Linked DNA regions of Saccharomyces cerevisiae S288C. The protein of the gene in region 1 interacts with the protein of each later gene in a pairwise test. Each region holds a gene or a part of one and is shown on either strand. Other genes may lie near its edges.

Region 1 (6,791 bases):
CGTAAATGAACAAAACCACAAAAAAGAGCTCTAAGTCGAAGTTGCCAAAAGTCTTAGGGTTCCTATAGATGGTCAATTACTTGAAGTTGTCATGGAAATGAGCTTTTTTTATTTTTTTCATACCTCTCGAGAAAAATTGCCTTGGCGCGTTCCTCCTACGAAGGAAAGCAGAAGAACAATTGTTACGTAAGGAAAGCTATCAAGAAACGGTAAACACTTACTAATAAACATCAATATTGACAGCAAAACGCGCTTTTCCACCTTCGAAAGGAGCTCTCCTAGATTCTGGGGTGTCTTTTTTTACCGGGATTATGCTGGATGGGAAACACCCAATACTGGAGTGTCAACAATAGGTAACTACTGCCAACCATAGAAAACGTCGTAGAACATCTGAGTATGAGTAAACGAGGTATGCGCAATAAAAGAAGAGAGAATATGTCATGCAGACTTCGCAGGTACATTTTAGATAAGTAAATAGTGATTTTAATCAATAAGATAGTATTACGTTTCAATTTGGAATTCCTGTGATTATGATTCTTCCATTATCTGTGAGCCATTTAATTGCTTCTGCATCTTTCACCTGACAATGTTTCCTTAAGGGATCCGTCAGATTAGTAAAGCCGCATTGTGACCCTTTTAACTTTCTCAAGTAATACTTGATCTTGTGCGTAGAGGACAATTGATTTACATAACCGTTAGTAAATAGTTCTTTTTCCATTTCATTTTTGAAGTTCAAAGCAAACGCAAAAACGTCAAAGAGATTCTTCAAGATAGGGGGATCTGGAATTAAACTTAGCTTCAAAGATTCTACTAAGATCCTCTTCAAGTCGTCAAGCTCAAAAGTCACACCTTCGATATTGTCAACGGCCATACAGGGTGGTGTACATATCGAGCAAACAAATAAAACGTTTGGATCATCAGGTGGAACCAACTCACCGTTGCTAATACAATCCACATGATACCACTCCTTGCATATTTCACATTCGACCATTGCAGTACCTTCTTCAACCCTTCTACAAAAGCAATATTTCGTTTGGCGCTTAGAACAACTTTCCAAAGGAATGTATTTGTCTGACTTCAAATCTAAACATCTAAAAATCGACGGCAGTATCTCAATAAATTTATTTTTTTGCATTATTTGATCCAAGTGCTGGTTCCATAATTTGAAAACTTTTAACTCCTGTTTGGCTTTCACTGATCCTGAATTATCACTGGCCAGCGGTCTCTTATCTAATCTCGAACCATTAAACTGGTTCGCAAACTTCACAAATTTAGGATCATTTTTCCTGATGAGTTCGTCTATTTTATCAATATTATCAGTGTTATAAAGAATATTCACATCGTTCATTTTTTTTGCATTTTCAATTTCTCTAATAACATAATCAAGCTCACTGAAAAAACTACTTTGTATGGGTAACCGATATTCTTCTATATCTAATAAAACGTCTTCTAAATCACTTAGCGATATTTTTGAGGGTGGATCCTTTTTTAGAAAAACTCGAACTTTCTGCATCATGTCCTGATATTTTAAAATCAGCTTTCTCACTTCCCCTAACTTATCTATATCTTCCGAATCACAATATTTCAAACCAAATTCGAAGTAAGAATATAACAGTGGAAGTGAATATTTCGCAGGGTCTTCATTCTTAATATCACATCGCTCAATGAATATATGTTCATAAACGGATAACCATTCAAGCCTACATATTTTTCTGGTCAACTTAGTCCAATAAGAAACCTTCAACGGGATGGTTAACGATTTCTGATATAATTCCTTAAGCAAATCTAGATTATTGCCATCAATAATATCTCTATTATCGATAGGAAACTGCCGAGATACGTGATACAGTCTGATAATTGTCGGCTTTTCTGAAAATTCAATTGAGCACTTCCGCACACTTTCATACAAGCTCTCCAAATTATCAGCCATGTTGTCAGAAAACTTAAGCGGTAGATGACGTAAATTGAAACCGTTTCCGAAATCTACATCTTTAACAGAACAGGAAACATCCACGAAGGTCTTAATAAACTTTTTACATTTCTCAATAAGTAGTAATGAATCATCAAAATTGGAGCGTAACATTCGATTAAACTCAGTATTACTATCAGTATGAGAGATCAAATACTGTATTATATTTAATGGCACAGTTCTATTTCTAAAAGTAGAAGTCATTAACACGTCCCACTTTTTTTCAAAATCTTCATTGTGAACAAGCAGATAAGAAGTCGGAGGCTTGTCCAAGCCATCGAGAGCAATTCCTAGGCTTGCGCTATCAAAGTATGAGTGCAAACAAACATTGAGATTACCAGATTGATCACGTATTGGGATGCCACATATACTATGAGCACCGTTTTCTGGTTTTTCTAGCAATACCACGAATTCCTTCAGAGATAAATTACGTTGCAATGCACCGTGTGTAACAACGATTTTTGAAAGACCAGTTGACTCTAAACTAATATCTGAAATATAATTCAATTTATTATAAACGACATCTACAGTGCCAATCAACTCCCCTAATTTTTTGCTGTTTTCCGCTTCCTCAACGACGTAGTTACTTATTAAATCACGGCATTTTTTCCTTAAAACTGGGTTATTGGAGTTTAGTAGGGCATTGATAAGTAATTGATTTACATCTAAACCGGGAAGAAACCCCATCTTAGATGTCCATTTTGCTGCCTCGGAACTGAATCTCAACCAGGAGCTTGGCGCAAATTTTGCATTCTGTGATAGATAGAAACCTGATCCAATAGAACATGTGAAGGCTTTCGGAAACTTAAAAATGTATGAGCCCTGCTCCTGTGTCGTCTTATAAAGTTTTATGCCATTGGCTAAGATGAAATTAGGCTCAAATATGAAGTCGCTTTGTGAACCATCATGTAGAGTGTTTCCTGCTATCTTATCTTCTGGAAATGAATTTTTTGAATTATCTCCAGTGTTTGAATAGTCAGCAGATTGTTCTGCATCCAAAAATGACTTGTAGAAATCTGTTTCTATAAAGCTCTTTAATTCGTCATCGGAGGTGGAGTAGCGCGGCCTTGATTGGATAGTATCCCATTCACTTTTTCCTCGAGCAATTAAAGCTTCGAATTTTTCCATATCTTTCGGCGCAATACTGTACACCAACTTGGTAGAACCTAAATGATTGAAATCAATTGAAGGTAAAAAATGATCCGAAACAGACCAACCTTGACAAGAAAACAACATTCCAATATCATAAGTGGTTCTCGTAAAATTGGCCATATCCAGATCAAGGTGTTGTAAAAGCGATAGTTCATTGAGAGGAATGTTGTCTAAATTCCACTGGTCTAGAATATTCTTAATGGCAAACTTTTCATTGGACGAGTTGTTTCCTGGTGATCTCATGGAACAGGGTAGTCCAAGACCGGTGTCAATTTCGAAATCTATAAAGTGCTCCGATAGCAAATGAAAGTATAACCTCTCGAATTCCTTTTGAGGTAATGTTGTGTGTTTCGCAAACAAATCAGGATAGCTACTCCCAAATTTCGCTACAATAGCAGTGAAAACAGCCAGACTTTTTTCGTAATACTGTCTCAAATTGTATACTGGAGAGGTTTTGGTTTCGTATTTGCTTTTATCGTATATTTCCATACCATTCTCCCAAAAAGTAAAATCATAGCCCGGTAATGTGGTCTCTGTTGACTGTGTATAGCCTAGTTTAAACTCAGTTAACGAGTTAAAATAAGTCGGAAACCCTTTTATGTGCTTTATGTCCCGCATTCTTTTAAATTCATGATTAATCGATCCGGCTCTAAAGACATCGCGGTGTATTTTAGCTTTTTTATGAAGTGGCTCCTCTTCGTCCCTACTTCTGCTATTTGAGTGACGAAATATTTCAGATTCCACCATGTCTTCATTTTTTTCGTTATTACGAGCAGCTTGCTCTTCTTCTTCATATATGTCAAAGTCTAATAAAATTTTTGCATAGGCAGATCTTAAAGAAGTTGATAACGAACTCATAATCCTGCCCGAGTAACCTAATTCTCTTCCAATTTGCGCCCATAATTTTTTTTCGCAAACAGCATTGAAGCCTCCCCTCAACTTCACACAACTCCTCAGTCTATATAAATCCAAGGTGCGTTTATCGATACTTGGGATCCTTGTGAGAGTACTCTTTTTGATTTTATTGTGAAAATTATACAACTTCGCATAAAAATCAACTATCTTGGTTCTTTGAAATTCATTCGAATTGAAAAATTGTTTTCTTGCTTTAAACCAGAGGCGATCTACATCAACATTTAGTTGAGTAAATTTGTCAGCATCTGGTATAATTTTCAACTTAACACATCCATAAACTGACCCTAAGTCTTCCACTAACTCATAAAATTTTATGGGGTCCGGGAGTTCTTTTTTGGCTAAAATAAATGTTGGAATAGAGTGTGGAGATATTTGATAAAATAAACCCGTCTTTTCATGAAACACTCTTGCGGGTACACCCTCCGGTAGCTCAACTAAATCTACAGATTTTATTGTTTCAGGTGCAAACGGTGCTGCACCACGAGATTTAAATTGCGTATAGAGAAATGGGCTAAAATTATGATTTGAAGTAGGAATTACAGCACTCCGCGGCGATTCCCATTGTTTAATCGAAGGTCGCTCCTGTATCTCTAATTCGATGTCTGCAATTTTAGAGCTTTCATGGAACCCGTTTTGTACCATTACCTTTTCGTTAACCGGTTCATTCAGGATATGAGATATTTTTGTAACAGAATCATGCCCACTCATTATAACTATGGAGATGGACGTACGAACAAGAACATACACGATAATCTAGAATTTGGAACAAAAAGCGAAGTTATTCAATATTATTTTCCTCCGAAGCGCTACACCTCCAGCGCCCTTGAGCTTAAAACAACCTTTATCTTCCACGCTGATGTAAAGTGTAGTTCTTATTTTAAGTGATGATGTTCACGAACTATGCTCGGCCACCGTTCACACATGCCGAAGATTTGAGTGTCACATCAACAGGCTTTCGGACGACTGAATACCAACAGCATCAAGCTGATTTGGCATCATTGTATGCATCATACAAACGTAATAAAGCACGGATGGAAGTCTTAGATATGACTTATATATATTCGTAGAAGAAAATTCGCTAAAATAAGCACTTATTGATTTTGAGTATAAAGAACATAAACATAAACAATTCATAAATAAACCATTAAAAAAATAAAAGGACTTGGTTAATTGCGCCCAAAAAAACGTAACATTATTTTTTCATGTTTTCGTAAGTCTTCCAATCGTTCGCAATTCCTCTGCCAGCGTTCATCTTTGTTCCAGATTGATCATGGCCCATCTTCATTCCCCCTTCGGACTGATCATGACCCATACCCATGTCCATGTTCATATCATCCCTTTCCTTGTTGGAGGATTTGGCGTTCTTTCCCTTCTGATGGGAATCATCGTTACCTTGTAATTTTTCAGCGAACTTATTCATCATGTTAGACATCTTGACTATACTTTTTTATATACCTTTCTACTAAAGTAAAGAGCACAGATACAAAGATTAAAAATGCCTAGGGACAAAACTTTGGGGCAGAATTGGGAGCTTTATATATGTTTGTGATGTTGATTCTGAGGGATGATAATTGCCCTCTCAGTCCCATCATTCTTTACACCTCGTACTGTATTCATGATCATCTATCCATTTTACATACCGCTCCCTTTAAGATACGTTTATTCGTAACTCCCATTTACCAATCACTATGAGCCGTCCACGTTTCCAAAAAAACCTAAACATATGATGCAAACCTCCAATGAGACTCAACGTAACATGCAAGTAAATACAGAAGGTTAAGAGATAGTTGTCTTAAAGGGGTACCGAAAGCATTTAGGGGAGGCTTAAGGGAGGGTGCCGATCCTATGAAGTATTAATACGTAATGCCAAAAGGAATTGTTGAACATCTGAAGTGGATAGATTAATCGTACAGTAATCGTACAGTACTATGTCTTACTGATGTCGGGAATCTCAGGGGCGACCGCCCCCGGCTAGAATTATCTATATAACGGTAAAAAGAATAAAACTCTATTCTAGTTCTCGCCATTTACCTTGACTTTAATGAACCAATAAAAGAAATTTCTACAACCAAGACATCCAGAATGAATACAGACCAACAAAAAGTGAGCGAAATATTTCAGAGCTCAAAGGAAAAATTGCAGGGCGATGCAAAGGTAGTGAGTGACGCTTTTAAGAAAATGGCTAGTCAAGACAAGGACGGCAAGACTACCGATGCTGATGAAAGTGAAAAACACAACTATCAAGAGCAATACAACAAGCTCAAAGGGGCGGGGCATAAGAAGGAGTAGCTCTGTTGTCCTACTATCGATTATTTGTGCCAGCGGGCTCTGTTAGGTTGAGGGTGGAAAGTGTAGAAAAAGCAGACCTATTTGCCAGCGGATACATAGCCACAGCTCATACATAAAATTTTCATACTTAAGTCTAAACACAATAATATATTTTTTTTATCGAAGACATCCAAAAACTTAGTAATCGTCGTCACCACCGTATTGATTACGACCGCCTCTATTAGATGAACCATAAGAGTCATCATTGTTGGATGAACCGTAGTTGGAAGACCCATAGGAGTTCTTGTTTCTATTAGAGGAACCGTAAGAGTCGTCATTGTTGGAACCGTAAGAGTCATTGTTGTTGCTGGAGCCGTATGAATCATCGTTGTTGGAACCATAAGAACTCTTCTTTTTGTTAGAAGAACCGTAGGAATCATCGTTGTTAGAACCATACGAATCGTTGTTGCTGGAACCATAAGAACTC
Region 2 (6,560 bases), on another chromosome or scaffold:
ATAAATAGATAACTAACTGAATTAATTTAGCAAAAGCAATTGCTTTTGCTTTTCTATCTTATTCATACACAAAATTCTTACACCGATATATGTCGATACGAACACTTCTTAGCCTAATCCGACCAATCATCCTCGTCTACATATTTTGGCTCCTTATCATTACTTGGGGGCTGTGAATGGACTGGCTTAGAGGTAGATAATGTCGCATTTTGACTTTGAGACGGTAGTGGTCTCCCACTACCACCAGCCATATTTGCTCTTCTCTCGTCCCAGCACCTTTTAATATCACCAACAATTTCCTCGAGGTCCTCCAATGAAACTGAATCGTTGATACTCTCCAAAACTTTCTGGACCACCGATGTATGATTACCATTTAACTTATCATCCCTGAATCTTAACATTTCCCACGCCCCAGTCTCTTGGTTTTTTGCGCACTCTACTATTCTACCATTTAATGGCTGTTCTAGGTTCTTCAAATTTTGCCATTCCTCATCTGAAACGCTCAACTCTGCAAATTTTCTGTATGTTCTTTCTAATATTTCAAATTCCTTCCTATCGAAAGGCTGGTCGAAATGTTTTAAACGTGAATTGACATCAGCTCCGCCTTGCCAGACATATAAGCTGAAAACTGGCTTAACGTCATAATTGTAATACCACCTGTTCCGATCATCTTTAGGCAAAGAAGGATCCTCCACCATTGGGATATCTAAAATCAATTTGAAGTCCACGGTGTTTTCTTGTTCTGGCTTCCATTTTAATAACAATGAATCTTTTCCGCCGGCAGTGTAAGGTGCCTTCACAGGAGTAAATATCAGACCATCAGAAAGATGTGGTAGTTTATCTAAACTTTTAGCAACTTTTACTAATTGGTAACTGAAATCCATATGTTTCATGGAAATTTTGAACGGAAAAGTAGTACAACGATTAGGGTACGCTGCTCTTAAATCGAAGTATGGTTTAAAAAATTCTTTTCCAAGGTGGGCTAGTCTAGAACTTGTTGGTGATTGTGTGAGACATCTACCATTGATAGCAAGACAATCGAACATTAAATAACGCAACTCTTGTAATTTTGTCATTGGGTTAGTTTGTATGACAAGTTCACCATCTAATAAGGTGCCATCTTGAAGAGTCTCTAGCAGCTCTTCTTTCTTCTTTTGGGGTAATCTGGGAAACCTAAATCCATTAACCAGATAATAGTTATTTTCCCTATCAATCATAAAGCATCCTTGCTCACCCGTCACAGGATTTATCACTATAAACATCAACACCCGCAGACCATCTGTTTTCTCACAAACGTAGTAATCATGCGCAAGCAGCTTCTCTTCCACATCAGAATGCTGAAAGGACACAGGCTGGGAACCAGGGAATGTTTTCGTAGGTTTTGGGGAATTCAATAATTTACAGACCATCATCTTCAAGTCTTGCGTGACATTCCCAGGTTGAATGAGCCCAGGAATTTCCGGTGCCACTCTACTTTCCATTGCTAAAACCATATTTGTTAAATTAGCGGTCGATTCGTATTTGCTTATTCCGTTAGTTAGCTTTAGTTTAGATATAACAGATCGTATTCCACCATTTCTTTCGTTATTTTCTGCAATGAACTATTTATTATACTAGGTTACGCTTCGGAGCGACTGACCCGAACATCATGGAGAACTATATATATTTTATGATATTGCTTTCAAAAGGACTAAAAATAAAATGCCATCGAACTATCTGGTGGCAAAATTGGCCTATCGGGACATATTGAGATCATCTGCCTTTCAGCTGGTCACGCTATGCCTAAAGAAGAAGATTTCCAATTACCTAGAAGAAGAGAGGCTGCTAAAAACGTGAATTATAATGAAATGGAAATAGATACTAAATTAGTTCAACAAATACAAATAGCGGAAAAAAGTGGTGCTAAGACCAAGGGTAGCAATAGCCAAACTCCCAGGAATTGTAAAAGGACAAGCAATCCAGCTAGTAGAAACGAGAAATTCAAGTACCAAAAATTCCTTCATGATAAGAATACTTGCTGGAACTTTATCCCTACATTACCCCCTTCGTTCAGAAAGAATAGCAGATTCTCTAACATACTTGATCTAGATGATGCCATGATTGACTTGAAAAAGATGTCTCTTTTCAATACAGAATCTGTCCTTTTATCTGCGAACGACACTATTTATATGATATCAGAGCCTGCTGGCGAGCCTTATTATGTTGGCAGAGTTGTAAATTTTGTTAGTAAACCAGAATTTTCTAACACTATTCATGAAGCTATAAAGACAACATCGGTCTTCCCTGCTAAATTTTTTCAAGTTAGAATGAATTGGTTTTATCGTCCTAGGGATATTCAAGAGCACGTAAATACTTTTAACCCAAGGTTGGTGTATGCATCATTACACCAGGACATATGTCCTATTTCATCATACAGGGGAAAATGTAGTATATTTCATAAAGACGAAGTTTTTGATGTTCTTCCTAATGAGAAGGAATGCATTATACGACCCAATATCTTTTACTTTGATGAACTTTTTGACAGATATACTTTGAAATATTACAAAGTTTACAGCACGGATAAAATATTAAATAAATGGAACAGTAAGTCGCCATTTCTTTATGTTTTGAATAGGAGATTTCGTTATATCTATACAGAACCGAAGTATCCATTGGAGAACGTTTTGAAGAAATACGTTTTCCATGAACTAGAGGTAAACGAATTAAGTCCTGCAGACTACCAATGGGATAAAAGATGTCAGTTCTGTAAAGAATGGTGTATCCAAAAGGAGAGCCTTTCATGTGATGAATGCGGCGTTTGTGCACATCTATACTGTATGGATCCGCCACTTGACAGGAAGCCGAACAAAGACGTCGTTTGGACCTGCTTCAGTTGCTTACAGAAACAACAAGGTACTAAGGACTCGCATGTTAGGTTTCTAGAAGAACAAGCACTGGAACTGGATTTTATTCGCTCTGTAAGACAAAAAATTGAAGAAATTTCTAGCAAAGCTATCAAAGAGAATGTTGGTTATAATACCGAAAATTGCTGGTTTCAATACTTAGGAATATATTCCATTTCTCATATTGGTGACGCATTAAATGATTCTATGTTTTTTCCATATCCTTTCAAACCCTCTAGGGTAGGAGTGAAGTATCAATGGAACGGATGTAATCATAATGTGCCCTGGAGGCGGAACTCGTATATAAGTGCAAATTCAGAAGAAGAGCGAGGCTCAACGAAAACTTCGGAACTAGCATGGGTACTTGATGCATCAAAAATTACTACTCGAAAATTGAGTGAATATATTGAACAATGCAAAAGCGAAATATGCCCTATTCTCAATGTGAGAGGTGAGACTTGTAATTTCATTGATGTAGTCCTAAAGAATTTATTATTTACAAATTATGATACAGCAGAGGCATTTAAAAAATGTAAAAGGGAGCTTTCCAGAAAATTTTTGAAAGAGCCAAGTTTTACCGCCGTGGAGATCCGAAAGTTTGAGGAAGCTGTCGAGAAATTTGGGAGTGAATTACGCCCAGTGTGTGAGTATGTGGGCACTCAACCTATGTCGATGATTGTTAGATTTTATTACAATTGGAAAAAGACTGAAAGAGGCCTTACCGTGAGAGGGAAATTGAGTAAGTTATCAAAGAATAAAAGAAAAAAAGAAATCGCTAATCATGAAAATGACGTAGAGACAAAGTATATAGATGATTCTTCTTTTGATACTGAGAAACTCTCTTTAGCAGAATCCTCCTTCCAATGCATGTTTTGTAAAACAGATTACTCCCCGATGTGGTATAGAGTTACTGGAGGTTCAGATGATGAAAAGATCAAGATAAGAATGCAGACAGGAGTCAACGAAAAAACAGAAATTTCAGAGAAATCGCCTGCCCATAGCAAAAAGAATGAAAAACTTGGCGCTCTTTGCATTCGTTGTGCTCGTATGTGGCGAAGATACGCAATTAAGTGGGTACCACCGCTTGAAACATTGAGAAAAATAACGGGAACCTGTCAGAATAGTTTTTATTCAGCGATAGAAGGGATTATAGAGGAGAATAACACAAACAAGTTTACGTTATCTCCCTTTCAAGCTCATAATAAACTACTAGAATGGGAACTTGTTCAGGATTCAGAGCTAATTATCAGGCAAAGAATGAAAGTTTACAAGAACCCAAATTCATTTGTGAAAATGAAGCGGTATTCCATGACATTCCACACGCAACTCTACAAAATGGCTGTGAGATCATATCGAAAGAATGAGTTTCACCCGGAGACGATGCAACGAGATCTTGAGCTATTTATAGAGGACAACAAAGAGGTAAGAAAAGCCATCCCTGAACAAAAGCCAGAAAGAGCGAAAAACACAAAGGACGAATTTCCCGTGAACATAATTCGACAATCACCTGGTACTATCAAAACAAGTGATACAAGCCGAAATCGCAAGTGCAACGATGTATTTATCGAGAAGGCTAGTAATAACAATATTCCTAAAATCACTAATGCTTCGAATGATTTGATAGAAATTTCAATTAAAACAGGCGGCAGTTCTTCTGGTTCAGTGTCTGTAGATAAAGGTTTTAAATTTGTCAAATTTGATAACAAAACATTTCAGCGATTACGGAATAGCTTAAAGTTAGTGAATAATAAGCTGCCAAAATATAATGAACCTTCAACGAAGAAGATCAAAATGATCAATGACATAGCGTTAAGTAATCCGTTAAACGAACCAAACGGGGCATCGTACAATTATACAGTTATTTCACATTCTAAGGAAACTTCTGTCGCCCTTGAAAAATACCATGATGGTAATAAACCGAGCAAAATGTTAGAGAAAGACATGATTTTGAAACACACTAAGAATAAACCAAAAAATCCTGATACAGCATGGGCAAATAATAGCGCAAGGACTTTTTGTAGTGTCTGCAAAGAAAAATTTAACGACAATGACAACTATGAGGTAGTATGTGGTAATTGTGGACTTACAGTACACTACTTCTGTTATGCTATTAAACTGCCGAAAGATATGAAGAAAAACACTAACCTTAAGACATTTAAATGGTTATGTGACCCTTGTTCAAATGACCTCAATCCTATAATATCAACGACCTACCAATGTAGTATGTGTCCTACGAAGGACTATGACTATGATAGATATAGGAGCCAATCATTTAAAATATGTCCAGACGCATTGAAATGCACGAGCTTAGGGACATGGGTGCATTTGGTTTGCTCACTTTTCAATGAAGATATCAAATATGGAAACGGACAATCAATGCAACCTGCCCTTAATACCACTGCTGTGCTTATTAAACATAGTAGATTTACATGTGGTGTGTGCAGGATAAATGGAGGTGGGTTAGTGAAGTGTAACAAATGCCAATATAGGTATCATATTACATGTGCACAGAACAGCTCCAATTTTAAGCTTATGTTTGAAAAGAAAAATATGTCTGTAGACACCACTCTACCGTGCATAAAGGATGTCAAGCTTAACGATACATACACTTTGAGACCTATACTAATATGCGATAGACACGATATCAGCTTAGAAGGAAACGAACTTTATCCATTATCGTACAAGCCTCAACATACTCTGTCATACATAGAACAATACTGCAGATATTATAAGTGCGAATCTGACCATAGTCTAGTGGAGTTGAGATATTTTGAACAGCTTAGACTGCGACACGGCGAAATGCCAGGAAACTCACACGACTCTGCTATTAAACCCAAAATTTACGTACTTCCTTTCGAAAGGACTTGCCCACATTGTGGTACAAACAAAAGTTTATACTGGTATGAAGATATTATTTGCCATTCTTGCAATTTGAGATCAGGTGCCCAAGAACTCGATTTTGATAGCGCATCTGCTAATATCTCTAACGATAACGGTTTACCAGTCGAAATTACCCAGCAATTGATGGAAGGAATTGAGCCAGCTATGTTTGATATCGATATTTCAGAAGCTGGTACCGACAAAAATACGCATCCATCAAGCCAGTAAGTGATAGTTACCTTAGATAGAAAGTATGGTCCAATCTTGCGCGGCTTTGTTGTGTTATTTTTTTCCATTATGCTTACAATGAATAATCTTATCCTATTTATGAATACTACAATTTACCATCAGTTACAAAGGAAGTTTTTTATATATTAATTTGGGGCAGGTGTTACTGTTCTTGAGGTTTGGCCCACTATATCTTTTAATTTATCGTCTACTGTTTCAATGACACCACTCCTTTTATTACCAGATGCATTTTTGCGAAGTGAGGAACCCCATATCGAATTTGCTAAAACGTTTTTCCAAGCTATCACATCTTCCATAGCTTTAAAATGTCTATAATTGACTAAGTCAGTCAATATTTCAATCTGCTTATTCACCTTATTACCACGGGAGATTTTGGTTCTTTTCCTTTCTGAACGGGCTAAAATCCTCGCGCCTGGCCTCTGCGAATTTATTATGGATTTTTTCTGTTCCAAGAGTTCATCTCTCTGATCTTCTAATTCTTGTATTCTATTAAGAACATTGCGTGTTTTCGAGCTATCATCTAGCTTCATGAGTTCGTCTGCAATCACC

What was found.
Region 2: the proteins of ECM5 (region 1) and SNT2 interact in binary tests that used the Saccharomyces cerevisiae proteins (3 or more experiments, as listed by UniProt).

Annotation. Positions count from the first base shown.
Region 1 is NC_001145.3:609,693-616,483, reverse strand, and holds ECM5 (Ecm5p), read right to left. Parts: upstream 4,745-6,791; coding exon 509-4,744; downstream 1-508. Other genes in the region: YMR175W-A (uncharacterized protein), read right to left, coding at 4,976-5,170; SIP18 (Sip18p), read right to left, coding at 5,229-5,468; PAI3 (Pai3p), read left to right, coding at 6,119-6,325; DDR48 (DNA damage-responsive protein 48), read right to left, coding at 6,503-6,791. UniProt on the Saccharomyces cerevisiae protein: May be involved in cell wall organization and biogenesis.
Region 2 is NC_001139.9:261,078-267,637, reverse strand, and holds SNT2 (DNA-binding E3 ubiquitin-protein ligase SNT2), read left to right. Parts: upstream 1-1,778; coding exon 1,779-5,990; downstream 5,991-6,560. Other genes in the region: CEG1 (mRNA guanylyltransferase), read right to left, coding at 114-1,493; ITC1 (Itc1p), read right to left, coding at 6,137-6,560. UniProt on the Saccharomyces cerevisiae protein: Transcriptional regulator that, together with ECM5, recruits histone deacetylase RPD3 to a small number of promoters of stress-response genes in response to oxidative stress.